Linked DNA regions of Arabidopsis thaliana. The protein of the gene in region 1 interacts with the protein of each later gene in a pairwise test. Each region holds a gene or a part of one and is shown on either strand. Other genes may lie near its edges.

Region 1 (16,008 bases):
TTCATTGAGTTGTTTTCTGACTAGGGTTTTAAGAGTTTGCTCATTAATGAGCTCAGGAGACGACAAGGTCTCATTAAGTCTCTCTCTGTACTCAGAAACATCTCGTTTCTTCTCCATACTCAATTGAATCAGCAGACACCTTTAGAAAACAAATTAATCCTCAAATCAAAGACCAAAGAGAATCAAAGATTGCCCTGAATTTGTGGAGTCAAGATGAATCATGGGGAAGAAGTGAGAAGAGAACACCTTAAAACGTAAGGCAATTTATAAGAAAGGAAGCTTTTGGTTATAGTTTTGCCAGACAAAACCCAGCTGCTGATGCGTAACCTACGAGACGGGCAAGGAACGTGGAGATGTTTTTCCCGATTAGAAGATACTTTCCCTCATTTTCTCGGGAATATACATATCTGGAGAATGTGAAGAAAAAGTCTCATTACCAATAATAATAAGAATTGGATTTGACAAAGTTTGAGAGTCTGTGTCAGACTTTATTTTAGAGGGACCAGGTCGGTTAACTGTCGTTGTCATGAGATCTTTCCTGTCTGTCTTTTTATCATTCAAACAAAAAAAAATGAATTTATAAAACTTAAACACAAACAAATAAGATCACTTTTGATTTATTTTATTTTTTAAATAAGGATGTGCAGGAATGAGATTTTCTTCTAAAATTGTGGGAGTAAATGAATGAATCTAGGTATGATTGATTTCATCAAAATCAGAAAACTGATTGTTTCTAGAAAAACATGCATTTGGGGTATTTTGAAACCACATGAGTATATGATGAGTTATTATAAACTAGAATTGCGTTGTAAACGAAATAGAACAAATCTTCTTTTGGAAATCCGTATACTTTAGCGTAAGAAAATGGAAGAATTTGATTTGGACTCGTATCTTTGAAGTATATATAATTCAGCATTTACATTATTGAGATTTATCTCTCATATGTTGTTTTTGCTTTTCCTCATTCTATGGACTTAGCTGCAAGTTTTAAATATCTATGGTAATGAACATGGTCCAGCCTATACAGCAACGAATATCTATCACTATTTTTAATATATATACACAATCAAAATTCAAAACCATGAGTTGCTTGCATATCCCTGTGTGGTCAAAGTCAAGACTGAACTATATTAAAGAGAAGTATCTTGCAACTAACACCATAGCTTATTCAAGACACAGCGACATGGAATATTACATTTCTTAGTTGTTTTAAACAGCCATTGGTTTTCACAACACTTAGTTAAAAAGGAAGTAAAAAAAGAGTCTCAGATAGTTTTGATTAAAACATTTTTTAAACTACTGACCGCAGCAACCGCCATTGTTCTGTTGGATTGGCTGACCTTTCATTTGGACAGTTCCAGGACCAGATGTCTTGTTTGCATTCGTTTGGCTTCCCATTCTGCAAAGAAAATGAGTTACGATATGATTAGACTCAATTCTCCATGTTACATAAACTAGACTGAATCAGCAAATGTCGATACAAGATATCAACCATATGGAAAATCTATCAACAGAAGTTAAGTACACAAGCTTGAGGAAGCTACAAGGATACAGCAGTTAGTTTGTTGATTTGCTTTCCATTAGTCATCAAGTCTAGAATAGCACACTTCGGATTTGAAACTTTACATGAATAGTTTATTTCATGAAAACAGTGGAGAATCAAGATGCTTTGCAGCAGAAAAAAACACAGAGAATGATTTGATGTATATAATGGTGATCAAGGAATATAGTAATAGAACAAGTTTACTAAACCTAATCTATGTTAAATCTTCGCAGAAAAAATTATGGCGAAAGATTAAAGATAGTGAACATACTTCTTTTTTATCTCGCCAGCAATAGTTAAGAATGCCTGTTCAACGTTAATAGAATCCTTGGCACTGGTCTCAAGAAAGGGAATTCCAAGCTCATCTGCTAAGGCCTGCAGTGATTTTGAGTAGATGAAATGTAAGAAAACCAATTCACAGTTGTATCAGGAGTAACAGCTGCTGCAAAAATAAGCAATTTCTACTCGGTGGATTCAGATCATCTAGCTTTGGGAATTTGGTCAGAGATCATCTACATTCATAGCCGTAAATTCTGGTATAACAATCTCAATGGTTGTAATATCATCACATGGTTAAAGATATGCGAAACCATGAAATGATCAAATGAGGAAAGGGGAAAGTACCATGCAAAGGATGTTATGCATAAGATAGAAGCAAAATCATAAATGGAAAAATTGCTGGGAACTTAACTAGGGATGTGAGCTTACCCTTCCAGTTTCGGTGGAAACAACTTTGCTTTCAACCATATCATTCTTGTTACCGATTAAAAGCTTGCAAACACTCTCATTGGCATATCTATCGATCTCACTCAACCACTGCTTCACATTGTTGAAGCTTTCCATCTCAGTACAGTCATAAACAATCTGTTGCAATTATCATCATTAAGGTTCATCACTTAAAGGGTGGATTACAACATTAAAATGATTCATATTCCAACATTACAATACCAATCTCAGACTAAACCACTTAAAATGAGAAATGGAAATAGGGACATAACACTAGTCTAGGTAAGCCAAAAAAAAGCAAGTAAGAAAGCGAATATAAAGATTGCTCACAATGATTCCATGAGCTCCTCTGTAATAGCTGCTAGTGATGGTCCTGAAACGCTCCTGTCCAGCAGTATCCCACTAAAAGAGAGCAGCAACAGTAAAATTGAGTAAACACAATCATCCAAAACATATTATATAATTGAAAACTCACAATTTGCAGCTTAATCGTCTTCCCATCCTGCTCAATCGTCCTAATTTTCTGCAAAACCAACCACATTATAAGTAAGTTTGGGATAAAACAATCTCGATCATGTATGTAAACAAGGTCAAAGAATGAACTTACGAAGTCAACACCAATGGTGCTTATGTAGCTGTCAATGTAAGCATCATCCTAGAAATAGCAACAAATCCCAAAATCACGAAACAGTACAAAAGAAGAAACCTAACACGAGCTAATTCTCGACGACGGAATCAATTAAGAATCAAAATCAAGTCAAACTCACAGCGAATCGGAGAAGAAGACACGATTTTCCAACAGAGGAGTCACCGATCAACAAAAGCTTGAACAGATAATCGCTACAACAACAAAAAATCGAAATCGGTGTGAGTAAAATCGAAAACGAAAGAATGGCTCTCAAGGAGGAGAGAAACACTTACTACTCGTTGCTCATGATTTAGCTGAAGACTGCGTTTCCGAGATTTGATTTTCCAAGATGAGAACAACTTTCCGGGAAAAAGCTCTTTTTCTCTATAATATAAGAAACAAAAAAAAAGAGAGGTTTGGGTTTAGGGGGCGTGTCAATCAATTTACATGAACATTGAACCCCACGACTTCTACTGGATTTTTTTGTTCCCAGTTTTTTTAATATTTGTTTAATTCCTTGTTGTTTTTCCCGAGACAATAAAGAAGCTTTGACCTTGTCTCACTGATTTCTTTACGTGTGTGTGTCTTCTTATTTGGGCTTTTTGATAAATGGGCCGAGCTCAAAATCTTGTCTATCTAACTTAACCGTCGTTAACGTCCTGGCCCTGTTATTAAAGGTTTGGATTTTATTACTCATGTATATGTCTCAATTTTTATTTTTATTTTTTTAGAGAAGATAATTTTACATAAATTTGATTTATAATCCGTGATCAAGATGTGAGGAATTAAATATAATGAAGTATTTAAAGCGGATTAAAAAGGTATATTGAAAAAGAAAAGAAAAACTTTGATTGAATATGCATGGATTTTCCAATTTTATATGACAGTATATTTTATCAACAAAATCATTCTCTTTTTCATACTCCATTCATATCATTTTTAATTAAGTCATATTAATCCTACCAAAAGTTACCTTCTAATTTTACGTTTCTTCTAATTTCCTTTTCTGGCAAAAAAGAAGATATTTCCTCAATTTATAATATTTTTTTTCCATCAAACTATTTTTTTTTATATAACCAAAAAAAAAAAGTGTAGTAACGCTAACGTGTTTGCAGCTTGCAACTTGGCTAGCAGATTTAAAATAAGATAAGTTCTAAAAATAAACAAAACATATATAGCCAAAAACACAAAATTAAAAACACGAAGATTTGTTTCACACAATACTTGGAATATCCTAATTATAAATAACTAAAAAGATTGAGAAACGAACACAAATCTCCACCTTATACAAGAATCGTAAAAGAGAAAAAAAAAACAGAGAGAGATCTTCAAAAAGATGGCGATCGTTAGCCCTAATTTCTGTGCACCGTACCCTATCGAGTTGGGAATCGTACGGAAGGTGATGACTTTAACCGATGGTAACTTCGCCGTCACGGACGTTAACGGCAATCTCCTTTTCAAAGTCAAGGAACCTTTGTTTAGCATCAGCGACAAAAGGATTTTATTGGACGCATACGATACTCCAATCTTGACTTTGAGAGAAAATGTAAGTATACGTCTATCAACTACAATTCTTTATAACTTGCATGGAGAGGCACAATTTTTTCATGGTGATACAAAAAAAAAATTTCATTATGCAAATCATATATACACAAACATGCTCTTATAACTTGCATGGAGGTACACTTTTTCAATACGTCTATCAACTAATTGTAAATAATATCAAAATCATCATCACTCATTCGAGTATGTTAAATCGTCATAGATCATCCAATAAAATCTGATCCACAACTTTTTTTTCTTATAACATAAAAATTGTAGAAGGTGAGCTTGCATGATAGGTGGCTAGTATATAGAGGGAAGAGTACAGACCAAAGTGATCTATTATACACATTGAAACGATCTTCAATGATTCAAATAATGAAGCCAAAACTAGACATCTTTTTGGCTCATAATAAAGAAATGAAGATTTGCGACTTCCATGTTAAAGGAAGTTGGATCGACCGGTCTTGTGTCGTCTACGCCGGCAAATCTGATGCCATTGTTGCTCAGGTAATTACACTGATCAAATTGTCTGTAAATTGTATAAACCGGACTAGCTAGTTATATGATCGTGTTAATTGAGTCATTGTTGTTGTTTTGTTGTTTTTTTCAGATGCACAAGAAACATACGGCACAAAGCATATTAATTGGGAAGAGTAATTTTTCGGTTACTGTCTATCCGAATGTTGACTTTGCTTTTATAGTTTCTCTCATTGTAATCCTCGATGACATTAACCGAGAAGATTCAGAAGACTAGATTAAGTTATCAACTAATTTCTTTTTGTGCGTTGCAAATCTAAATAATACTCGAAAACATAGTACAGTATATGTTAATTATTACAATATTTTTAGTGATTTATTTCACCAAGGCCTATCAATTTATATCATTATAATAGTGAAACCGTATTTAAGAAAATGTGCGAAAGACAAATCCAAACTTTTTTGTGGAGGTAGACAAACATCTTCAGGTATCAAAAGTCTCAAAACTTAGTTTTACCATCTCTGAAGTTTCAGCCATTGGAGATTCCTTTAATAGAATCTAAATGGGGGTGGATAAAGAAATGATATGCCAAAGTGATGCGTCAAAAAACATACTCGGATCTAAATATGGCAACATGTTGGGTGATGATGAGGAATTGGAACATTACTTGTCCCCATTTCTTTCCAATGAAATGTGTCTCCTTACAATTAGTAAACTAATTCTATATATCTGGAGCAAGATAGTTCCTCTGCTATGAATATATCATTTAGTTATGTTGGATTTAAACACAAAGGGAATCCAACATAAAGTAACTAAACACATTAACATTCGTTTTGTTCACTGCATCAAACATAATCTTTTCTTATTTTAATTCTTCCAGATCCACCTGCTGCACCTTCTTCGCCTGCAAATCAGAGAAAGCACAAATGTATAAGTTTCTCTATTTAAGTTTTTTGGTATTTCAACTCCATTAAATCTTCCAAATGTTGAAAACCAATAATAAACAATTGATTACCTCATTCTTTTCTTCACGCCGAGCATTTTTCTTCTTGGTAAATTCTGATGTTTGAAAAAAAAATTACAACGAATTTGTTTTTTTTTTGCTCTTTACCACAAAACAGCAAAAAAACTCAACATTACCCCAGAGATGGAAGCTGAGAGAGGTAGCCACTAAAAAAGCCAATAAACGACGTCTATTTGTCTTCGCAAACATTTCTCTCTCTGTTAAAATAAGCAAATCAATTACACTCACGATAGTTTGATAGATTTCTTGCCGAATCAGAGAACGTTACCATCATATTTACTACGCAAAGAAGAGAAATTGCGTCGAGACACAACCGATTTCTCTCCGTGAATTGCCTGCGCTATGACGGATCTTAGAAGATTCGGCTGCGACATGGTCGGAAATAGGGTTCGGTCTTCTTCGTCTCCTCCTCTGATTTTGTGATTTTCTTTCTCTTCCAACCAAAGGGTTTAAATGGGCCTGCCTATTCCCTTATCCGCCTATTTTATTGGGCCATAGCCCGATTTTTTCCTTTACCCGCCACTTTTTATTTTTACTTGTTAGCCCAATCAAACCCATCTGATCAAAGTCTTTGACTATGTTAGGGAATTTTTCCTTCCGTTTCTACACGTTCATTTTTTCACCACACCAAACACATGAACGGCCAAAAAGAAAATGCTCATTGACTCTTTGTGTGATCACTGGTCACCTAAATGGGCAATGATGCTTTAGAATTACAAAAACAGACACAATAAACATAAACAGACTTTTTAAGAAGATAACTCTTTGTAATTTATTAAGAAAATAACGACAATTTCGAAAGAACATAAAGGAAAGAAAAGAAAATATTGAACATCTAAATTAGCTCTTAACATAGTTCAAAGCTTTTGGATATGAAGATGTGTAAGAGAAGTTCATGGATATAAGTCCCGACACAAAGTTTTGTTGGGTTATTCAGTTCTTTGAACTAGTGTTTCGCTGTCTGAATATATCGACCCCTAAATAATCAATGGTGCTCTTAATAAGTGCAACATTTGGCTTTGAGAGCTTCACTCGAACAGCGTTTATCTGATGGAATTTTTCAAGCGTTTTGGAAGCAATAAGTTCCGCGACTGTCTCCAAAAGGTTTCTTGGTGACCCTTCAACAATTTCCTTAGCTAGGCTGCAAACAATATCAATTATGTCAACAACATAATCATAACTATACAACTTAAAGATGAACGCAAATCGGGATACTATGTATTTAGCTAACCTGAAAATGTCGACGTAGCTAATTGTATCTTCTAAGTTGTCTGATTCACCAGCCTTTTTCAGACTCACCCACGCATCAATGTCAACAAGAAACATCTGCCCCAGTGTCCTTTCTTCAGCAATCGCTCCATGGAAACCGTAAAATTTCAACCCTTTTAGTATCAGTTTGTCTCCAAGATTTGACTCTGGTGATTATGTTCCACGTAAAACTGCTTATATAAGTCTTTGAAACATAAAGCAAGAGTCTTGTGACAATTCATAAACACAAACATAGGTTCTGCCAAAATAATTCTACAGGAATGCAAACAGAAAAGAGACTAAAGATTAAAAATCTAAGCAAGGACTATCTTAAATTATTTTGTTGACTTAAACACAATTTAAATCTCTCAACCTTAATCATCCAGCTGACTCTAAACCAAACTATAAACCACCATAACTCGAGATTTTTTGCCACCGATATACGATTTTAAAAGGAAATTTGTATATACCTCGTCGCTCCAACGTCGCCGGAGCCGTGGTCTCCAGTGAGCTATGCATCTTACTATTCGCAGCAATAGATTTTGGATTTAGATTGCGTCTGAGAGATGGAGAGAAATCGAAGGATATCAGTTTAAATTTGAAGGAAAACGAAGTAGATGGTAATGGTGGCCCAATCTCATGTATTTATAGGCCCAAATTTTAAGAAATATTTATTATTTTCTTCTTTTTTTGTTTCAATAATATATATTACCTGTTTCGACGAAAAAAAATAAAAATATTTATTACCTTTGATATATGTATGTTTTAGAAAATATATTAATTTCTTTTGGATTCATTTCCTTTAAAGAATTTGTATATTCATTCATCACTATCCATTAAAGAGTAAAAGTTAAATATTATAGTAACTGGATTTTTCTTCTATCAAAGTGTTACTTATAAAATTCTTTTTTTTTTAATTAAATATAATCCAATTTTTTTCTCATTTTGTCTATTTAATCCTACTATATTATTTGGGAAGTACATTTTAAATGTAACCTTAATTTTTGTAATTAATTACATAGGTGTGCCATTAAAAATAAAATTTCAAAGAGTAAATTAATTCATCTCTTTAAGGATTAAAAAGTCAAATACTAATTTAATTAATTTAATTTAATTAGAAAAACGAAATACATTATTAATTTCTAAAAAAGTAACCAATCAAAATCAACATATTAGATTTGATATCTAAATTATCATATTAATTTTTTATTAATTATTATACTTCACTTCTCATCTTTATATGATTCTATTTTTCCGAAACAAATAATATCATCATATCATCGGTATATCAAAAAAAATTAGAATTATTTTGCATATACCATGATTTGAATTTTTAAAAACGAATATAAACTGTTTTATACATGAAAAAATATTATAACGGGTTAAAAATAGATTTAAGAAAACTTTCGACTGAGTAACGGGTCATAATTTGTATATTTATTCAATTTCATACATATTATTTTGAAAATTTATAATCTTATATACTACAATAATTAATAACATATTAGATATTTTTAATGTGTATGATGTGATTCAATCTTTAATACAAGCTATAAAATCTTAGAATTGACAGGTTTAGATCGATATTAATACAAGATGGTATGCTATAGATGAAACTCTAAAATTAACAATTAAAATACAAGTGTATAATCTTAAACACTAAACAATATAAACAATATCAACAAAATATATAATACTCGCAGTGTACTATACATTTAAAATCAAATAAAATAATATCATATATTTATAAATCATCTTTACAAAAAAAGTTTTTAATTTAACTAAAATATAAACCTACCCGCGGTATACCGCGGGTTAATATCTAGTACCTAGTATAAATCAATTTGATTGCTACTTAGTGCTAATATTAAAGGAAAATGAAGTTTCACTTTATTTCAAGGGATCCACTTGACATTTTGCTTTATGTAAATTTTTATTTAAATTATACATATTTAACATTATAATTAATTGAATTTTAGAGATCTAGTTTATTGTGTGATAAAGAATAAAGTTTAGTGCTAATTTATAAAATAATAATTTATAAAGTCATGACATGTATAAAAAGAAAAAAAATCTTTCACTATTGTGGCTCCATTTGGAATTTTGTTTTAGTTAGATTTTATACACTAATTGCAAAAGTAACACCTAATTTTTTTTTTTACAAAACTCGTTTTTGGACCAAATTTTAATCGGATAAAACGGATGACCATGCGTAATGCAAAGATACCGTATGTTCCTTTAGTGTGAAGCATAACTATGACCAGTGACCACCACATTTAGTGGCATGAACCATGTTGTCCCATAAATAATCATGTAAAGTGAAACTAATTTTTTGGATAAATAATAATAAGTGCAAGAAGAAAGGTAAGTAAGTTTCAATTAAAGAATCATGAGACAAAAACACATGGTCTACAGATTCCAACACATGCAACCAAAATTGAAGTAATTTATTTTTGTCTAATTGATAAACAAAAGTAAAAGAAAAAGACAAAAAACGGAATTTGTTAACGCCGTTAAGCAGCCGCTTCCCCCACCCGTGACGTTGAGGATATGATCAAATCAAAGAATTCAATATAAACCGGATTTATTAAACCACGGTTCAATTAGTCCACGCATTGGTTTAACGCCGGTTTGGTTCGTTCTATCCGTCAGCCACTGGGCTCTATCGTTAGAGAAAGAGAGAGAGGGACAGATCTGTGAAGTTGGGATCTTTCTTTTTCACTTTCTTCGTTGTCTCTCTCTGTCTACACGCTTGTGCTTGTGTTGTGTTTGTGCGCCACTTTCTATCTCTACTGTTTTCTTCTCTCGTCACGGCTTAACTTTTGCAATCTTTTAGCTGAAGCTAATTTCAACAAGTTGTTATTTTTGCTTTCAATTTTCTTACTTTTTGATCTCTCTTTTCCACGAAACCTCTTATAATAGATTTCTCATTTCTGGGTCTAAAATCTACTTTCTATTTTTGGGCATTGATTTTTATTCTTAGATAAACTAGATTGAAGGCAAAGAAACCATTTTTTTTTTTTTTTTTTTCTAGATTCTCTCTAGGTTTCCCTAAATTTCTCAACTACTCCTAAAGAGTTTTGTTACGTTTCTGTGTGATTCTCCTTTTTTTCTTGACGACTCCAAATTTCGTTTTTGCGTAAATGGTGGTGAAGATGATGAAGTGGCGGCCATGGCCGCCGTTAGTTACGAGGAAATACGAGGTGAAGCTTTCCGTGAAGAAGCTTGAGGGTTGGGATCTGGTGAGGGAAGGTGTACCGGAGAAAGATAGATTAACGGTGGAGATTCGTTGGAAAGGTCCTAAGGCGACATTGGGATCTTTGAGAAGGTCGGTGAAGAGGAATTTCACCAAGGAAGCTGTGGGAGAAAGCGATGTCGTTTCATGGGAAGATGAAGAGTTTCAGAGCTTATGTTCACTCACTTCTTACAAGGACAGTTTGTTTTATCCTTGGGAGATAACTTTCTCTGTCTTCACCAATGTAAGTTTTAATCAGTATCCGAAGATTTGAAATTTAAGTTTTAGATTCAAATGTTGAAACTTTGGAAATGGTGAATTAGGTTGTAGATGAAACCCTAGCTGGATAATCATCAAATCATGAGACTCTTTGAATTTATTGGTTGTAAGATTTTGATACCAATTAATGTCTCAACCTGTTTGATTCAGCTGATTCTAAAGACTTTAAACTAGACCTTGATAAGATTCCTTCTATTGTAGAGGTTGAGAGTATAGGTAATTGGTTCTGTTTGTTAGTGTCATCCTCAAAGATAAAGAAGATTGATATTTGATTTTGTTTCTAGGGAATGAAGCAAGGGCAGAAGAATAAAGCTCCTGTTGTTGGAACGGCATTTTTGAATCTTGCTGAGTACGCGTGTGTGACCGATAAAAAAGAATTCGATATAAACATACCACTTACGCTCTCTGCTTGTGTGGCCTCTGAGACACATCCTTTGCTCTTTGTATGGTTACTTCTCTCTTTAGACACTTCTCTACTTTGTTGGCTGGATATTGGTTTTTTGACCTTTGAGAATCTCTTGTTCCTTTAGGTATCATTGAGCCTGCTTGAGCTTAGAACTACTCCAGAAACATCAGACTCGGCAGCACAAACCGCGGTTGTGCCTTTGCCTCTCCCATCTCCATCGCCACAACAGCCTACTGAAACTCACTCAGTTGAGAAGGAGGATGTCTCTGCAATCAAAGCTGGTCTCAGAAAAGTCAAGATTTTCACAGAGTTTGTTTCTACAAGGAAAGCCAAGAAGGCTTGCAGGGAAGAAGAAGGCAGATTCTCAAGCTTTGAATCATCAGAATCGCTTGATGATTTCGAGACAGATTTTGATGAAGGCAAAGAAGAATTGATGAGTATGAGAAAATCTTTCTCTTATGGACCTTTGTCTTATGCAAATGGTGTGGGAACTTCATTAAACTGTGGCGCGAAAGTTAGCGATGAAGACGAAGATTGGGTTTATTATAGCCACAGGAAATCAGACGTTGGAGCAGGTTGCTCTGATGCTGAAGATTCCGCTGCGGGTTTGGTGTATGAGGCATCACTGCTTCCACGGCGTAGCATATTGCCATGGAGAAAGAGGAAGTTGAGCTTTAGGTCTCCGAAATCCAAAGGAGAGCCTTTGTTAAAGAAGGATAATGGAGAAGAAGGTGGAGATGACATTGATTTTGATCGGAGGCAACTTAGCTCAGATGAAGCTCATCCTCCATTTGGGGTAAGGTCTTATAAGTAGCATCATTATTCAGTTTAGTTAGTTACAGTTTTTCTCAGTTTTTGAATGTGTTTTATATGCAGAGCAAGATTGATGAAGATTCATCTGCTAATCCACGAACTTCGTTCTCGGAGTTTGGAGAAGACAGTTTTGCGATTGGAAGTTGGGAGGAGAAAGAAGTGATAAGCCGAGATGGACACATGAAGCTCCAGACAAGTGTCTTTCTTGCTTCTATTGACCAGAGAAGCGAGCGAGCAGCTGGTGAGAGTGCATGCACTGCTCTTGTAGCGGTCATTGCGGATTGGTTTCAGAAGAATGGTAATCTCATGCCAATCAAGTCTCAGTTCGATAGTTTGATCAGAGAAGGTTCTTTAGAATGGAGAAACCTCTGCGAAAACGAAACGTATATGCAGAAATTCCCTGACAAGCATTTCGATCTTGATACCGTGCTACAAGCAAAGATACGGCCTCTAACCGTTATCCCCGGAAAATCCTTTGTTGGGTTTTTCCATCCTGATGGGATGATCAACGAGGGTAGATTCGAGTTTCTACAAGGCGCAATGTCTTTCGATAGTATTTGGGCTGAAATTATTAGTCTGGAGGAAAGCTCGGCGAATGGTGATAGCTATGATGATGATTCGCCACCGCACGTTTACATAGTGAGTTGGAACGATCACTTCTTTGTCCTCAAAGTTGAAAAAGAAGCTTACTATATCATTGACACACTTGGAGAAAGGCTTTACGAGGGTTGTGATCAAGCTTACGTTTTGAAATTCGACCATAAAACCGTCATCCACAAGATTCTTCACACAGAGGAAGCAGGATCCGAATCAGAACCTGAATCAGAGATTTTGAGCAGAGGGAAGGAGTCATGTAAAGAGTATATTAAGAATTTCTTGGCGGCCATACCAATTAGGGAGTTGCAAGAGGATATCAAGAAAGGATTAGCCTCAACCGCGCCTGTTCATCACCGTTTACAGATCGAGTTTCATTACACCACAAACGCAGAGATTACCAGTCTATAAAAGCCTAGGCAGAGTTGCTAACGTTTTGTTGAGTTTCTTGTAAGTTTTGTAACTAACTTGTGAATGTGATTTAGAGTTAAACCAGTTTGTATCTAACTATCCAAGGAATTTACATTTTTGCTCGTTCTATTTCGCTGTCTCTTTTTGGTTCATTATGTTTTTACAGCTTAAAATTTTGGCATTGTACCATAATCTCAAAATCTTCAGACAAAAAGACAAGGCCGGGCATGTTTTATTCAGACAGTATTGTTCACTCATCACAATACACAACATGAATCAATCAAGCGCAATCAAGCGCAATCTCACAAATCCATTTGATCAAGAAGGTTAACATAAGAGTTACATGAAGAACATTGCCACGAAAAATCACTGCTGCAATTGATCGTAGACATTGAAAATAAGCCAACCTTCAATGGCAGCAGCTTCAAGACGATCATTAGAGCTGGCTTCATCCCACTTGGACTGAATAGAATCAAGCCTACTCATGTCATACCAAAGAATCTTGTGAGCTAATTCTCTGGTTCCAAGGAACTCAACAATTGGAGTACCTCGGGCTTTCGCAGCTAGTTTCCCAATCTCCAACGAGCTTCGGATCACAATACCGTGGTTTTCTTTAAGCAAAGCGAGGTCTTCTTGAATCTGGACACCGACAAATGTGACAAATTTGGAAGCAAAGAAGCGATAAAGATCCTTGAGATTATCACAGAACGGGTTCGGCAGGCGGAGGAAGAGACAGAAGTTTTTAGTGCTAAACTTCACTGAGCATAGACGCCATTCGGACTTTGTGCTAACTGATTTGACATCCCAATACACATCAAAGACAATGGACCGGTTTCCATTCCAGACGGAATCTTCAAGGATCTTGGAAAGGTAAGGAGAGATATCGGTTGTTGATTCAACATCAATGGCTTTGGTCTGGACCCAAGAATTATCAACCATCATAAACCCTTGCCCATCGAATGAGGCCATTGTGGTCTGAAATCACTGGAAACATATTCACATTACACATTAGACACAACATCATATAGATCCATTAGCTTGGAGAGACACTCAGAATCAATACAATTCTAATAATCAGTGATCTGTTTTTGTTGTGAATGTGCTCAGCGATGAATCGAATGAAAAACTGATAAAGCAGCAAAGATTTTCAATATGTTTTCCAATTCACAAAGACATTGAAATATCGATTTTGAGTGTGTAGCAGCAATAGAATGACCGATTCAAGAAATGTGTAGACGCATTCAGAGCTAATTGGGTTTTTTGCCAGAACAACAAATTTACTCTAATCAGCGTTTGGGTTCTATGAACACAATACAAAGGTACGATTTTTATAAAGTGTGGATTAGACAGAGGAAAGTCCCCAAATAAGTTCATCGGATGGAACATGCTTTTGTTGATTTGGATTGAAGATTTATATATAAACATGAGAAAAATCTTTCAATCCAAAAAGACAGAAAAGAGGAACACGAACCTTGAGATTTCGGTGCGAGAAGGCTGATCTAGTAAACGGAGTCGGAAGAGAGAAAGACTGTTTCTGGGTTTGTTGTCGGAAGAAGAAGGAAAAGTACGCAAGTGAAAGTACGGTCCTGCCCATTGAAGGAATGACACGTGTCTTTACCTACGGGTATCGCACGTGCGAATGTCGCCATACGTGTTCCGTAGTAGAAGGATTTTAGAAGAGTCAATAGAACATTATTTTTTTCTTCACTTTGGTTGATTTTGGTTTAACATTTTGGAAAACTCACTCAACTCCTTGAGTATTGTTTTCGAAAATTTTCCTTGTATATTCATAGCATTTTGTTTCATATAAAACAATTAGTTATAGTCATATAAATAAATTGTTATTAAGCACTTGGAATCTTGGATTAAGTACAAAGAGCACATTTCACAAGACCATTCTCATTACACTCTATGCATCTCTTCCAGGTTTCGTGCTCTGCAACAACTCTCGACCTCCCATTGCATTTCGAACATATCAAAAATCTTTCGTTCTCGCACATCTCACACTGCCGCGACTTAGCTGATGAAAACACTTCTAGAAGCTTCTTGAGCTTCTCGTTTTCGTTAAGAGACACCACCTCGTCTGCTCCACCAATGTACTTACACTTTATGAAGAGCCTAGGAGGTGTAACTTGCTCCCCAAGCAATCTCCACATCTCTTCTTTGTACTCACAATCCATTGAAACATCTCTTTCTCGGAATGATGCCTTATGATTCTCTAGCAAGAATCTCACTCTTCTGCAATCTTCGAAAGTCTTTCTCACTCCTCGTAGACTTGTTGTGAAGAAGCAACAGAATCTTGCCCACCAGCTACACATTTCTCTTCAAAAGCCCACAAAAGCTCATCAAGATTCTGTTGAAGTCGTTTATCCTCAGAAACCTCAATTGTCGTTGGCGTAAGACACTCTTTCTCATCTATTTGATGAAAGATTGTGTGATCAAGATTGCTTTTGTGGAGAGCTATCGCCTGCTTCAAGTTCCCAAGAGATGTAATAAGCTTAAGTTTCTTCACCATTCTCTCCTTCATATCCATCATTGCTTCAACCTTCAACCTTTGATAAGAAGTTGTGAAAGAGGAGAGGCAAAAACCTAATCAAGATTGACAAACATGAGACTGGATAAGAGAAAAACGAAATGAGTACTCAACTGAACAAAAAAGCTACTTTGTGGGTTAGCTTTTCAAAAGTTTCTCCTTTGACGGGTCATTGTAGTACTAAAGAAGATAACCGATAAGCTAAATTAGGGTAACAAAAAACATTGAATTTACCCAACTTTAGCCCAACTTTGTCCAAATACATAGCAAAAGGGGAGGAATGTCCCTTTTAACATGTTGGTATATTGAAGCTATGAAAAAATTCATCTTTTCTGATAAGTCATTAATGGTTTACGTTTGGTTGAATGATGATGTATGTCACGTCTTTATAATTCCATGAACGTGGATGTAATGATGTACTATTGGTTAAAGTAGGCTCAGCTTTAAGGTTGCAACTAGAACTAACCACAGCTCTATAAAACCTAATCAATAATTCATTACTTTGTTTTTTCTATAAATGGGGGGATTCATGAATGGTCCAGAAT
Region 2 (15,205 bases), on another chromosome or scaffold:
AAAATCTAAGCTTCTCATTATGTTTGTTGGCTTCTCAAATCATATCTAAGGAATAAAAATTTCATCATATATAACTAAACAATCTAGTCATGAAAATGGAATTGCATAAGATTCAGTGAACATTTCATACGAAATTTTTTATTTAATGATAATCATCTACTAAAGCCAGAGAAATTAATTGTTATACTTCCTCTGTTTTGGTGTTCAAAAAAAAAAAGAAAACGAAAATTTCCTCTGTTTCATATAAAAGGCAAAGAAAACGAGCGTGACCAAGACTATAACTAGTTTGCTTAGTAGAAGATTTTGGCAATGTTTCCAAAATTGTCAAATAGACAACATGCGCTTAAGATTCACAGTTTCAATGCTAGATCGTTCCTAATGTAGCTTTAGTTTTGTGTTTGTGTAGTGACGAGGGAACTTATGTGGTAGGAGTGGAGGAGCTACAAAGAGAGCTGATGCCAAGACATGTGGCAGTGATAATGGACGGAAACCGGAGATGGGCCAAACGGGCCGGATTGCTGACGTCACAAGGCCACGAGGCCGGAGCTAAACGGCTTATAGAGTTCTCCGAGCTTTGCTTTAAATTGGGGATTCATACAGTTTCAGCTTTTGCCTTCTCCACAGAGAATTGGGGAAGACACAAGGTGTGATATTTCAGACTATGTAGCTTACATTCTCACTCAACTCTTGACTCTAACGATTTGTTGGTATTAATAAGATTGAGGTTAAGTGCTTGATGTCTTTGATCCAACATTACCTCAAGTCCAAGATCCAATATTTCCAAAGGTATAAAGTACAACTCAATTGAGCTTTTTTGTTGACAAATGATCTGCTCATGGATTACCAAAATCTTGTTGTTTCAGAGAGGAAACTCGAGTTTCTGTTATCGGGAACCTAACGAAGATCCCTGAGTCTCTCCTCCGAACAGTCCAAGAGATAGAGGAAGCTACGAGAAGCTATAAGAAGAAGCATCTCATATTGGCAATAGATTACAGCGGGAGATTAGACATCTTGCGAGCTTGCAAGAGTATTGTGAAGAAATCAGAAAAAGGGTTGATCCGAGAGGAAGATGTAGACGAGGCATTGATCGAAAGAGAGCTTCTGACAAATTGTACTGAGTTCCCAAGTCCTGATCTATTGATTAGGACAAGTGGAGAACAGAGGATTAGTAACTTCTTCTTGTGGCAACTTGCTTATACAGAGCTCTTCTTCTCGCCGGTCCTTTGGCCTGATTTCGATAAGGATAAGCTTCTAGAGGCCCTGGTTTCGTATCAGCGCCGGGAAAGACGATTTGGCTGTCGGGTTTGATCCTCTGCTCCGCTCTGTTCTGTTATGTTCATCTGAGATTTCTATCAAACTACTTGTTCCACAGTCAGAGATCATTATGCTGTTGTAACTTTATGTCGGTAAATTGAAAATTTGCTAATAAAAATCAGCGGTTACTTTGTCGTTACTTATCACTAAAACAAATATCTTGCAACACAAGGAACTGTACTATCTCAAAAGCATAGTTCTTGAGGTATATTACACATCATATTCAGTTTTCATTACACCATTTGCAAGAAAATCAAGATTTACGACCACCAAAGCGTCGTTGTCTCTGCTGAAACGACATCAAAGCTTCGATAAAACCGCTTCTCCCAAAATCAGGCCAAAGTTCTTGAGCAAAGAAAAGCTCTGTATAAGCCAATTGCCACAACAAGAAGTTACTCACTCTAAGCTCACCACTCGTTCTTATAAGTAAATCCGGGTAAGGAAACTCAGTACAATTCGTCTCCAATTCTTCCTCAATCAGTCTCTCGTCTATCTCCTCAACTTCGATTTCGCCATCTTTCACTCTCCTCGCGATACCTCTACACGCTTGTAAAACATCGTATTTCCCACTGTAACCAACCGCTACGATTAGCTGAAGCCTCGTGTTGTTCTTTGTAACTTCCTCAACTTCGTTAATCACTCTTAAAAGAGATTTCGGAAGTTTCGAGGAATCTCCAATGATCGATATCCGAACATTGTTCCTACATATAAAAGATTAGCTTTTGAGACATAATTAATCAATCACAAACACTTCTTGATTACAAATTATACGCAATACTTACTTGGCTAAGTTCTGAAATTCTGTTTTGAGTGATCTCTCAAATAAACTAAACAAGAAATCAATCTCAATCTGCAGAGGAATAAACTCATAATCGCATCAAAATCTGAGATTTCGAAAAGAAACCCTAAAATTTAAAAATTAGGTTTGTCACTCACTCTTGGTCTAATCCAATTATCAGTAGAGAAAGCGAAAACTGTAAGGACTTGAATTCCCCATTTACCACAAAGCTCAACGATCTCTTTCAAAGCTTCAACGCCAGCTCTGTGACCATCCCAAGGTTGAAGACCACGATTCTTCGCCCATCTTCCGTTTCCGTCCATTATAATCGCCACATGTTTCGGCATCAGCTCTGCATGTAGCTCTTCCGGCAGAGTTTCTTCTTCCTCCGCCGCCGTAAACGAAACATCCGATTTGGAAGATTTGACTCCGAATCGGAATCCTCTGTTTTCCTCGAATTTTGGCGAGAAAGAGAGAAAGCTATCTCTACTTAACCGCCATCGCCGCTCTAAATCTCCGGCTTGATATCGCCGGAAATCGAAGGAAGTGGGAGTAGGAACTCGTAGAGATAACATCTTAAGAGAATCGATTTTACTCTAGGCTTTGTGATAGGTTTGATAGCATAGGGGAAGTATTGTATTATAAGCAGAGAAGGTTGGAACTTTCTTTCCTCCACAGATGGTTCTGGTAAGTGTTTGAAAACGACGACGTGTTTTGTCGGTGTGGAAGAAGATGATGTTGACATGTTTTTTTCGAAATTGAGCGCCACAAACAAACTTTATCGTTAAGAAATTCCAAGCTCCTGTCTTTTTATTTCTTTTTTGTGTGGTTTATACGAGTTCCTATTCGTCCACGTCTCCTAATTTTCCTTTTCTTAAAGAAAATAAATGCATTAAAACCTCCTCCTAGAACTTCAACTAATGTTGTTTGTCAACATACCAGCAAAGAACCTCAATTAATGTTGTTTGTAAGTCAAATTTAAATATGGGATAAATGAAAATTGGGCCATAGCCCATTACTTATCTGAATAAAAAGGCCCAATACTAGTATTGCTCGTGAGAGCCACGTGAATGGTGCTTCCGGCCGGTAATTCGCCACGTCTTAACCTCTCCCGCCACGAGATAGTTAGTTATATACCAATATACCCTCACATTATTACAGGAACATATTACAAGATCTGGAGGGGGTATAATGGTAAATCTAAATGGGAGTAAAAGTGTTTTTATCCGCGTAAATAATTAAACCGGTCATCGACCTAACCGGCTTTAGTTTGTGTCCGCTGCGTCGTATCAAACCCAAAAAGAAACAAAACTGTTTGATTCGTACTCTCTTCCTTTTGTCGGGTCGTGAGATTTTTACCGAAAATGAGTTCAACGAGGAGCAGAAGAAAAAGGGACCCAGAAATCGTCATCGCTAGAGATACAGATTCCGAGTTAAGTTCGTCAGAAGAAGAAGAAGAAGAGGAAGATAATTACCCTTTCTCGGAGTCGGAGGAGGAAGATGAAGCGGTTAAAAATGGAGGGAAAATTGAATTGGAGAAGAATAAAGCCAAAGGGAAAGCACCCATTACCGTTAAGCTTATTAAGAAAGTTTGCAAAGTAACGCTATTCTAAAAACCCTAACTTTTCTAATGAGTTTTCTTACTTGGCTTATGATTTCAAGTTCTGAGTAGGCTTATGTGGAATAAGTAATGACTTTTGATTTTGATTTCGAACATATTAGAAGTATTCACTGTATTGGTTCCCATTATAATGGTGCCTGAAATTCACTTTATTGTTTATTAGTATTCTTCACTTGGATGCAGAGACAGAGGATTTTGGTGTTTGGCTTTGATTGTTTCGTATCTGTTGTTGTTTCATGGTGGTTTTATAGGTTTGTAAACAGCCTGGCCATGAAGCTGGATTTAAAGGAGCAACGTATATCGATTGTCCTATGAAGCCTTGCTTCTTGTGTAAAATGCCTGGTAAAGCTCCTGCTATTTCTTATCGATTCTTGCTTACATGTGAGCTTTTTGATGATGGTGAGTGGAGAAAATGTTAATTTACTCAATGTTTTCGCTTTCTACTGCATCACTTGAAGGCCACACCACAATGTCCTGTCCTCATAGAGTGGTTACTGACCACGGAATACTCCCAACTTCTCATAGGAATACAAAGAACCCTATTGACTTTGTGTTCAAGCGCCAACTCCAACCGAGAATTCCTCCTGTAAGTCCTTACGTGTTCAAGCGCCAAACATTTTTTGATACCTGATGAGATTTTTTGACTGGATCTTTTCTCTTTTTCCTTTGCTGGACAGATTAAACCAAAATATGTGATCCCGGATCAAGTTCATTGTGCAGTTATTAGATACCACAGCAGACGTGTTACATGTTTGGAGTTCCATCCAACAAAGAACAACATTCTTCTCTCTGGAGATAAGGTTTTACAATGAAACAAAAGTCATACGTAACTAATTTTCTGCGTTTATTTTCTCATTGTTTTTATTCGATTCTGTTGTTGGTCTTATGGTTAATGCTCTGAAGAAAGGGCAAATTGGAGTCTGGGATTTTGGAAAAGTGTATGAGAAGAATGTGTATGGAAACATACATTCTGTTCAAGTTAATAATATGCGGTAAGTTTTTAAATCTGGCTTTCAATCTTACAGTATATGTTGTGGTTTTACTTTCTGCATTATAGTATCTGGAAACAAAAGCTCATGTCTTTTGTTTTATCAAATTTATCTTCTTTTGTTGGTATTGCAGGTTTAGTCCCACAAATGATGACATGGTTTATTCTGCATCCTCTGATGGAACAATTGGTTATACTGACCTGGAAACTGGAACTTCATCAACTTTGCTGAATCTCAACCCTGATGGATGGCAGGTCACACCATCGTCTCGTTTCTCTAATTTGTCTTCTCTGATTCATTTAACTTATTACGACATATCATCGGTTTATAGGGCGCAAACAGTTGGAAAATGCTGTACGGTATGGATATAAACTCGGAGAAAGGTGTAGTGCTTGCTGCTGATAATTTTGGGTTTCTTCACATGTAAGTGATTTCATCCCCTTGAACTGTTTATAGACTAGCCTCTTTGTTACTGTTTTAAATGAGTGCCAAACTGATTTTCTCGTGATTGCTTTTGTAAAAGGATCGATCATCGTACCAATAACAGTACGGGTGAGCCTATTCTGATACACAAGCAAGGAAGCAAAGTTTGTGGCCTCGACTGCAACCCTGTCCAGCCTGAGCTTCTTCTCAGTTGTGGGAACGATCATTTTGTAAGTCTATCAAACAAAACCAAGATCATGCTGTCACTTTGGATTCGTTTAGATGTTTATCTGAATTCTTTCAGAACTTGTTTAATAGATTTTCCTGGTTATGGTTTCAGGCGCGAATCTGGGATATGCGTAAACTACAACCTAAAGCTTCTCTTCATGATCTTGCACACAAACGAGTAGTCAACTCTGCTTACTTCTCTCCATCATCAGGCACGAAAATCCTCACGACGTGTCAGGACAACCGTATTCGAATATGGGACTCTATCTTCGGGAACTTAGATTTGCCAAGCCGAGAGATTGTTCATAGTAATGATTTCAATCGGCATTTGACACCATTCAAAGCTGAATGGGACCCTAAGGTTTGATACTTTAACCTCTTTCTCCTCTCCTTTTCCATCAATTCCCCTTTTTATTCAACATTTGTTATATGTTCATCCGCAGGATACCTCGGAGTCACTCATCGTGATTGGTCGTTACATCAGTGAAAACTACAACGGAACTGCTCTTCACCCAATAGATTTCATTGATGCAAGCAATGGACAATTGGTTGCAGAGGTTATGGATCCAAACATCACAACTATTACTCCAGTCAACAAGTTGCATCCTCGCGATGATGTTTTAGCTTCAGGAAGTTCAAGGTTCGGGATTCATTACCCAACAGCTACAATAGTAACCGTTGGTGGACACTTTTTCTTATTGACTGATCTCTCATTGGTGTGGATTTGGTTTCGAAATCCGGTTTTGCAGGTCGCTGTTCATTTGGAGGCCACAGGATAATACAGAGATGGTTGAGGAGAAGAAGGATAAGAAGATTATCATATGTTATGGTGACAGCAAGAAGAAAGGAAAGAAGCAAAAGCGTGGCAGCGATGATGAAGACGATGAAGATGACATATTTAGCTCTAAAGGCAAAAACATAAAAGTCAATAAGTATCAAGCAAAAACAACCAAGAAGACAAAAACTTAATATGAGTGAAGAAGGTCGTTATGTATAACTAACTTACTCTGTTTTTGTAGGTTTTCTTGTACAGAGTCTGTTTTAGTAGCATCCCCTGTTTTGCCTTTGGCGGCAATTTTGCTTCTTTTTTCTTTTGGGGGCGCATGATCGGCTTTTGTATGGCATTTTCTTGAAATCCTTTTTGGTGATTCTTAAGTATGAATTGTAGTAAGTATGTGGAATGGATCAATCTTGAATCTTCTCTTCAGTTTTTACTCTCCCCTGTTTTCTCTTACTTGTTGGAATGATTCTTGATCTCGCTGAGTGAAGAGTGGAGACATGGGATGAAATGTCTTTACTCTTACGTCATCTTGACAGCCAAAACTCATCTGTACTACGTATGCAATAACATCGATAAACAAACTGAGTCCAGCTAATCATCTTGTTGTTGTCTCAAGTATGGTCTGCCACTACTTCATCTTATTATATGTCACAATACATTCACATTTGTTCGGACGCGTTTACGAAACCTGACTGGAATTTTGGTTATCCACTGCTTGGAATCTAACTTAGCTATTGCATTTCACTGCAAAGGATTTATGTTTAATGATTTAGCTTAAAAGGATTTGTGGAAAGCTCATTATTCAAACAAACAAAACTTACATGAGGATTATTGATCAAGTACATATATACCGTGATCTACATTGCTAATGTACAACATGTGTTACAAAGGAATGAGTTTTTCATCTCTCATCACATCAATCCAATACAAAACCGAATCTAGGGTTCTATATTTCCTCTTAAACCCAAACCTATCTACTTTTTCTCTTTTCCCAAGAAGCTTAAACGGACATCTAAACAGAGCATCCAAGAAATACCAATTCGCCAAATCCTCAATCTCTGTCCTAACAAGCTTCTCCTTCACAACAATCTCATCCCACACATGTTTTCTCTCAACCATCTCTCTCCCAAACCAGAAACCTTCATCAAACATGGTTGTTTCGTTAACTTGTACACCAAGTTTCTTCCCTATTTCCGGCCAAATCTCCTTCCAAGTAAACCCTACTCCATTAATGGCGTTAAAAGCTTCCCCTTTCTCGCGTACTTTCCCACTTGTTGCAGCGAATATATGCTGCTCCGCGACTAAATTCGAATCAGAGCCATCTATGTAACTCTCTTCCCAACATTCTCTTGTTCCTCCAAACACAAAAGGAAGATTCAAATACTTACACATCGCTCCATAAACACAAAGACTTCCCATGAAGTTGTACAGAGTTCTTGAAGAGCTTCCCATTAGCAAACCAGGTCTTTGAACCGACCAAACAACGGAACTACGAGTGATCTTCTCCTTCAGCAAGTCCTCCAAAACATAGTAGAAATTCTTCCCAGAGCTCTTTCTTGGACACTCCTCGCTGTAATAATACAAACTCGAACCTTCTCCACGAGCCATTGTCTCTTCCACCAAAGACACATAATGCTTCATCCCCGTTTGAAGCGAGAAATGCTTTAACCTCTTAGCGTTTGGGAGAATCGCGTCCAAAGCGTTCATCAGCATCGTCTTGTTCTGTACGCAACATTCGTCGGTATCCAATGGAAACTCACCAGACCACGTGACCCAAAACACGTGACTCACGATGTCTTGTAATGGAGACAACCTCTGTTTAGTCTCAGATGCGTTAAGCAGATCGCAGGAGATGAAGTTGTACATCTTCGTCATGGAATTGATCTCCGGGTTACGCGCTACGCCGTAGATTCTCCATCCTGGTTTAGACATTAATAGCGTCTTAACAATCTCTCGACCCACAAGCCCGGTGACGCCAAAGATTAACGCTACATTCTCGTCTACTTCGTTTCTTCTCATCAAGCTGCCATTTTCAGACCCCATTGTGATTATTAGTGAGTTATGGACTTTGATCAAAGCTTCATATAAACGCTTAGAGTAAAGACAAAAAAAGTTTGTGGGACTGATTCAACGTGTTTTAGGATAGTTTCAAGACTCGATGCTTACCTGTTTTAAAGGCTATGATAAATTATCCAAAGCAAGTTGCTTTGAACACAGCTACGATGTAGCATAACGAAGCAACATTTGTTTAAGATAAAATAGACTAAAGTCAAACAGTGTTTTGGGTTTCATGTTAACGTGTTTATCAATTTAATTTGTGGTTCTGGAATGTGTTACGAAAGCAACAGTTGTTACAATAGTTTTTTAAGGAACCGTCGTGTACAGCATTTTGTCCGGTTCTCAATCGGACGGTCAAGATTTTGCGAGAGGCAGAGTCTGGCCCGTGGTTGCTGGCCGGCTTTTAAAATTATAGTACACTTCAAGTGGGTCTCTACTCTAATAGTATTCATTTTAGTTAACAGTCTCACCGGTCAAAACCGAATATTAGCCGACAACTTATTCAATGAACTAGTTATATATACACTCGTGAGTCGTGATGATTGTTTTTTCATAACTAGAACTCATGTACCCGAAACCAAACCGATTTGAGATCTAACTGTCGTTCGATTCATGCAGTGGCCAAACATGTATCATATCGAATTTCATCAAATGAAACAAGTTGACCAATGGAATTGAGAAAGTAAGTTTTTGGATTAGCGAAATGGAAGACCATAATTTACATTATCAAACAACTTTTTGATTGATCAAAATTATTCTTCTGTTATAAGTCAAAGTCTTTGATCACGTATAACGTTTTAATATGAGAAAATTGAATAACTACCCTGTCTACGTTGAAGAAACTGAAAGGGGGAAATGGGTACAGTGTATCTCTTGTCCCAAAGGACATTGAAAAGCTAAAAAACTAACACACTTGGCTACGTTTAAGGCTTTAAAATGGACCATGTTTTGTGGTAGACCTACACATTACTCTTCTTTCAATTTTGTTTTCCTCCGTATTCTATGCATTGAATAGACCCACTTCTCATCTTTAAATTTTCTGTGGAATTGTGAAAGAGTGTTCTACTTTGGCGACAACAAAAAAATGTTTCTTGGAACTTGGAAGAACTTCAATAAAACGGCATGGAGTTTTGACTTCCAAGTTAGAAACGGAGTGTACCTCAAGAAAAGGGATCTAAGCGTAAATAACTAAAACTAAGAACCCTAAAAGAAAATACATGATTATGAAAGGACTGAATCATAAATGCCTGTCCTCCAATGTTGAGACGAATTGAAAAGGAACCAGAACAACTACTATCAACGGTGATCGATTTCGCCGGGAACGGAGAAGAAAACCCTAGATATGGCGGAGAAGCTTGCGCCAGAGAAGAGACACGATTTCATTCACAATGGTTTCTCGCTTTCTCTATCCCCTCGCTCTATTTCTCTAATTTCAGCTGATTCCATTTCACGAGATTTGGTTTGAATGTTCTTCGATTTCCGATGGTTATAGGTCAAAAGGTATTTGAGTGGGATCAAACCCTGGAAGAAGTGAACATGTACATAACTTTGCCGCCAAATGTTCATCCAAAGTCATTCCACTGCAAAATCCAGTCGAAACATATCGAAGTTGGCATCAAAGGCAACCCTCCCTATCTCAATGTCAGTTTCTTTCGCTATCTTTCAATGTTTTTGATCCGTTTGTCTCATAAATCTGAGTTATTCGATGTGGTATATATAACTCGATTCAATTGTCTAAATTTTGTCAATTTTCAGCACGATCTTAGTGCTCCTGTGAAGACTGATTGCTCGTTCTGGACTCTAGGTACTCCATTTTTTGTTTTTGTGTCTGTATTGGGTGCTTGTTTTTGATGGTTAGGTTTCTGTTTTTAGACCCGTTCACTATTGCTAGAGAGGATAAACTGAACCTGGAAATGTGATCTGAGTTTGGTATAAATAGTGGGACATATAGTTTGGAATGTGGAAAATTTGAGACTAATGGAGGGATGATGGAATGTACAGTATATTTTGGGTTATATTATCAGCGTATGTAAGTTACTGGCATAGTTTTTTTAGGTTCATAGTCTGGCACTGATTGCTAATCTGGATTGTTATGTTTGATTTGGCAGAGGATGATATAATGCACATTACCCTGCAGAAGAGGGAGAAAGGGCAAACATGGGCATCACCGATTCTGGGACAGGGTCAGTTAGATCCTTACGCCACTGATCTTGAGCAGAAGCGGCTCATGCTCCAGAGGTTTCAAGAAGAGGTTAGCTACCTGTAAAAGTCCTCTTGGTTTCATATGGTTTCTGCTTTTGAAAAAATAAATGTTGTTTTCTAGGTCTTCTAATTGATCTCCAAAGCAAATCTTAGGCACCACTACTGAGTAGAATGAATCTATGTCAAAGTATGATTACTTTGCCATAAATGATCGTTTTGGATGAGTCATGTCCCATGATTGTTTTCTTTGTTCAAGCTCTCTTATTTTGTTTCTTATGTCTCTCTCAAGTAGTGAATCTTTTGTGTTCATGGATAAACAGTCTGCATAGAGCTGGTGATAGTAAACCTATAGTGTAGCCGGATTTTTATCAGTTTCATGAATAAACAGTCTGCATAGAGCTGGTGATAGTAAAGCTATGGTGGATGAAATTGCTCAGCCTTAGTCTAACCGGATTGAGCAAATTAACATGGCAAGACTGCACACATGGGTGTGATTCATGTATGCCTTAATGGCTTTGTCTTATTGGTTTTGTTTCTGCTTGTATGCATGAGTTTCTATTTACTTTGTATTGAGCTCAAGTATGCTTTTCTTTACTCTTTCGACCAACTTTCCTTTTACATGTTCTTTCTCTGTTGGTTTTTGCAGAACCCGGGATTCGACTTCTCGCAAGCTCAGTTCTCGGGTAATTGTCCAGATCCAAGGAGCTTCATGGGCGGTATTCGTTCTGACTAAATAAATAATAGTCCCACTCTTGTTGCTATAATAGTATGTCCATTATAACAAACTCAAAAGTCACCATGACTTAAACAAAATGTCTCATGTCTCATAAATAAACCCCCTGACTCTCTGTTTCTATAACTCGTAATGGCAATCATATAAATCGTCTTTCGTCTCTGTTTAGTTGTCCTTTTCTTCCCGACAACAGAATCGGAGCATCTACTAAAAGTCCACTGAGCCGCCGTGCGCTTCGAATCTTGTTTTGGTATGTGACAGCTTTTTCAAAAAGAAATTGTCTTGGATAAGTGGAGGAGAATAAGGAATTCGAACAAAATAAAATTGGAGAAAAATGATCATATTCTCTATTTTATTATTTAACATCATTTTATTTCGGTTACAAAAAAAAAAAGGAGGAAAATTAGGCGCGCGTCATCTCCCTCGCGACACATATATCATAAGACAGAGAGCAGGGAACGAATCTCAAGACGTTACGTATTAGCTTATAGCCATTAGTTTTGTCTCTTCTTCTTCTTCTCGTTGGTCGGCTTCTTCGTCTTACTAATTCCATGATTCTTCTTCTTCCTTCTGCTTCACTTTCTCGATGATCCTCTGCACCAGCCGCGATCATGACGTTGAATCCTCCTCCGTCGCAGCAAACGTCTCACTCGCCGCGTCGGATTCCCAATCGCCGCGTTCTCATCGTCGGAAATTATTGCCACGACGTTTTAATCCAAAACGGATCCGTCGTAGCTGAAACTCTCGGCGGCGCCGCCTCTTTCATATCTAATGTCTTAGATTCTTCCTCTGTCTCCTGCGATTTGGTCTCCAAAGTAGGACACGACTTCAGATACGAGGTCACCCACTCTCCGATCGTGGCTCCGGAGAAGGAAACAACAGTTTTCGAGGCGTATTTCGATCTGGGAATCGATGGGATCGGTCATGCTGATCGGGTGTTGAAAAGAGTCTCTGCATGTGATCCGATTCTTCCTTCGGATATACCCGATTCGAGATTTGATTTCGGAATGGCCGTTGGAGTCGGCGGCGAGATTTTACCGGAGACGCTTGAGAAAATGGTGGAGATCTGTGACGTTGTTGCTGTGGATATTCAAGCTTTGATTAGGGTTTTTGATCCTGTTGACGGAGCTGTGAAGCTTGTTGATTTGAAAGAAAGTGGATTTTATCACATCTTGCATCGAATTGGATTCTTGAAAGCTTCGTCAGACGAAGCTCTTTTCATGGATGTTGAACAAATGAAGCACTTGTGTTGTGTGGTGGTGACTAATGGTGAAAAAGGGTGTAGGATTTATCATAAGGATGATGAAATGACGGTTCCTCCGTTCTTGGCGAAGCAGGTGGATCCTACCGGTGCCGGAGACAGCTTTCTCGGAGGTTTGATTGTTGGGCTTGTTGAAGGTTTGACTGTTCCTGATGCTGCATTGTTAGGGAACCTCTTTGGTTCCATCACTGTAGAGCATATTGGTCAGCCAAAGTTCGATTTGATGATGCTTCAGGTTTGTTTTTTGGTCTCGTATTAGCTTACTGAATTGCATGCTGTGAGAGATTTGCAAATCTAATAGACAGTAGTAAGAACTTTTAGAGCCGATGATAGTGATATGCAAATGTCTTTAACATAATCCTAGCAAAAGAACTCTGTTACATCTTGCAGCTTACTTTCAATACAGCCAAACCTATATCTTGCGGGTGAACTAGAATCTGTATTTGATGTTGATAGGTTTCCAATCTGAAAATGTGTCAAATCTTCACAGTTGTTGTTTGAGATTCTGTCGAGTCACAGCTGCTGAGAGAGTCTTTTCTTGTTTTACTTCATTGTTAATCTAGGAGCAGTTTCATTCAACATAGGGTAGATGCAGGAAAAAGTGTTGTTTAAGCATTCACCGAACAATGTGGTTAAGCAATTAGAGAATTCAAAAGTATGGATCTCTTGATGTATTTGCGAGTGTTTCTGTGTATCTCTTGTAGTTGTATCTGTTGAAATGAGGGCGTTATTGGATAATAATTGAACCATTGGCTAGTGCAAGTGAACATTAAGCAAATTAGAAGATTTATAGCGTTTGTGTTTGCACTGCACAAGGATTCATCCCTTTCATCGGTTATTTCTATGTGACATATGTCTTTGTGATTTGCAGAAAGTCAAGGATGAGGTACAGAGAAGGAAGAAGCAGTGTAACATATCTAGCAGCCATAACAACGATCACAACGAGTTCCATGAGCGTCTAAGTCCAGCTCGGTTTTCATGCGTAGACTCTCAACTTCAACCAAAGTTATTGGTCAATGGTCACTCTTGTGATGATCGGTCCCTGTGAATACGAATCTTGAATCACCTTTTTTTTACTAACAAAGCTCTTCTGAGTTGTGTAAGCTTGCTTCAACACGTTGATGAATTTTGGAAATTTTAATGTATAAAACGCGTTGACCAGCGTCTTCAAACGCTCTTTCTGGTCGTTCCCGCAAAGTTTGTTTATCAACTCCGCGTTTCAAAATTCGAAATGAAGATGTCAAATTTTGTTTTAAAAGTTTTGGATAAGATGATTTGCTATTCGCATGTTGCCACATTATCTAGTTAATATAAAAACCAAAAACAAATCTGAGATAAAATTACGAAAGTCAACGTGGGAGATCTAATTTTGACTGGTGCATAGTTGAACCGGTTCAATATATGTACAATCAGGAGGAAACCGTGTTCGGTGTTTGATTCGTGCGCGTGGATTTAAAACGTGGTCACGATCAGGCGCGTGGATTGACGTGGCGATTCCGATTCCCAATCAAAAGTCTGGACGAGCAAAAAATTTCCTCTGATATTGGCATCTCCATTACTAACTCCTGATTTACGGTTAAAACGCCTCTTCCCTCTCTCCGACGCTTCTCGTCGGAAATCTGGGTTTAAGTTTCTTCTGCAGATCGGAAGAGATTCTATTGAAGCGGCGTTGACACGATTTCATCTATAATTGTACGATAATGAAGCAGAAGAACCAGCATAAGAAGAAGAAGAAGCGATCCTGCGCCGCGAAACCTTCCGGTGATGGAACGACGTCGGACGGGAACAAAAAAGATGTGGAGGAAGAGAGGAAGGACGGTGAAGGAAAGAGGGAGATAGAAAACGTTGGAAAAAATTTTATCGAATCGTTAATGGAAGCCTTTTGCTCGGTTTCAATGGAGGAAGCGATGGCTGCTTATAAGGAAGCAGGCGGAGATCTGAACAAAGCCGCTGAGATTTTATCGGATCTGGTGGAAAGCGGTGATGATCCGTCGACGAGTTCGGTGGCGAGTGGTTCTTCGGGTCAGGAAACAGCGTCTACCTCTGAGTATGGGGCAGGGTCAAGTTCTAGCTGTAGCGAAGATTTGACTAGAGATAGATGGTTTAAGGGAAGCAAGCAGAGTAGAGTTATTGCTGCTACAGGGATGGTTTCTTCTGTGATTGCGAAGGATTACTTGAAGCCAAACCCTGTGCGAAAAGAGTTTCCTATGATGGAACGGTCTAAAGAGCTCTGTGGGAACGGGAAAAAAGCTGCGGATAGAGAGAAAGCTGAACAGTTCTTAAGTTCAATGCTTGGAGATGATTGCGAGCTTAGCATGGCTGTTGTTAGAGATGTTTTGTGTGAGTATTTCTTCTTCTTAGTCAGTTAATTTTTCCATGGGAGAAGATGTTAGTAGAAAAGTATGATCCTTAATAGTTATAGGATTACGTTTTAATGTGTCCGCGATATTCGAAATATAGCCGTAATAATGTTATGAGGAGAGACTAGATTGTTCGATGAATTGACATGGAAGTATCTATTTTTTGTAGGTCAATGTGGCTATGATGTCGACATGGTAAGCAGAGATTGTCTTCAAACTTACATGGGGAAGTATTTAGTATATTGACAGGGAAGCTCCTGAAATATGCTGATACTTGCCCGACTATTTATTTTAAAGCTTAATAGCGTTTTCTTCTTAGGCTTTGAATGTCTTGCTTGACATGTCTTCTTCATCAACTGATGATTCATTGAGTGGTAAATGTTTCGGCATAGGAGTCAGCGATAGTGTAAGTGATTGTTTTTTTTGTTAATCTTCATAGATCTGTTTATTTTGTTTT

Evidence for each region.
Region 2: the proteins of ATFP8 (region 1) and AT5G58750 interact in a two-hybrid assay, tested with the Arabidopsis thaliana proteins (one large-scale study listed by BioGRID).

What each region holds. Positions count from the first base shown.
Region 1 is NC_003074.8:3,708,194-3,724,201, forward strand, and holds ATFP8 (Ras-related small GTP-binding family protein), read right to left. Parts: upstream 3,425-16,008; 5' UTR 3,205-3,424; coding exon 3,191-3,204; intron 3,110-3,190; coding exon 3,037-3,109; intron 2,925-3,036; coding exon 2,877-2,924; intron 2,793-2,876; coding exon 2,745-2,792; intron 2,672-2,744; coding exon 2,600-2,671; intron 2,408-2,599; coding exon 2,252-2,407; intron 1,919-2,251; coding exon 1,815-1,918; intron 1,400-1,814; coding exon 1,297-1,399; 3' UTR 938-1,296; downstream 1-937. Other genes in the region: AT3G11720 (Polyketide cyclase/dehydrase and lipid transport superfamily protein), read right to left, coding at 1-139, 309-407, 488-528; AT3G11740 (LURP-one-like protein (DUF567)), read left to right, coding at 4,234-4,443, 4,719-4,949, 5,053-5,196; AT3G11745 (uncharacterized protein), read right to left, coding at 5,783-5,824, 5,936-5,979, 6,061-6,141, 6,213-6,318; FOLB1 (Dihydroneopterin aldolase), read right to left, coding at 6,878-7,085, 7,176-7,359, 7,663-7,711; AT3G11760 (structural maintenance of chromosomes flexible hinge domain protein), read left to right, coding at 10,336-10,671, 10,991-11,149, 11,237-11,908, 11,989-12,930; AT3G11770 (Polynucleotidyl transferase, ribonuclease H-like superfamily protein), read right to left, coding at 13,297-13,899; AT3G11773 (Thioredoxin superfamily protein), read right to left, coding at 14,796-15,137, 15,206-15,466. UniProt on the Arabidopsis thaliana protein: Protein transport. Regulator of membrane traffic from the Golgi apparatus towards the endoplasmic reticulum (ER).
Region 2 is NC_003076.8:23,721,858-23,737,062, reverse strand, and holds AT5G58750 (NAD(P)-binding Rossmann-fold superfamily protein), read right to left. Parts: upstream 8,476-15,205; 5' UTR 8,178-8,475; coding exon 7,017-8,177; 3' UTR 6,921-7,016; downstream 1-6,920. Other genes in the region: cPT5 (Undecaprenyl pyrophosphate synthetase family protein), read left to right, coding at 407-644, 719-786, 864-1,308; cPT4 (Undecaprenyl pyrophosphate synthetase family protein), read right to left, coding at 1,568-2,015, 2,097-2,164, 2,251-2,667; DDB2 (damaged DNA binding 2), read left to right, coding at 3,457-3,690, 3,965-4,055, 4,172-4,299, 4,391-4,513, 4,617-4,705, 4,836-4,956, 5,034-5,125, 5,226-5,355 and 3 more; AT5G58740 (HSP20-like chaperones superfamily protein), read left to right, coding at 9,535-9,583, 9,685-9,833, 9,948-9,996, 10,301-10,443, 11,041-11,127; Mik (pfkB-like carbohydrate kinase family protein), read left to right, coding at 11,739-12,623, 13,260-13,436; AT5G58720 (smr (Small MutS Related) domain-containing protein), read left to right, coding at 14,089-14,728, 14,918-14,943, 15,068-15,154.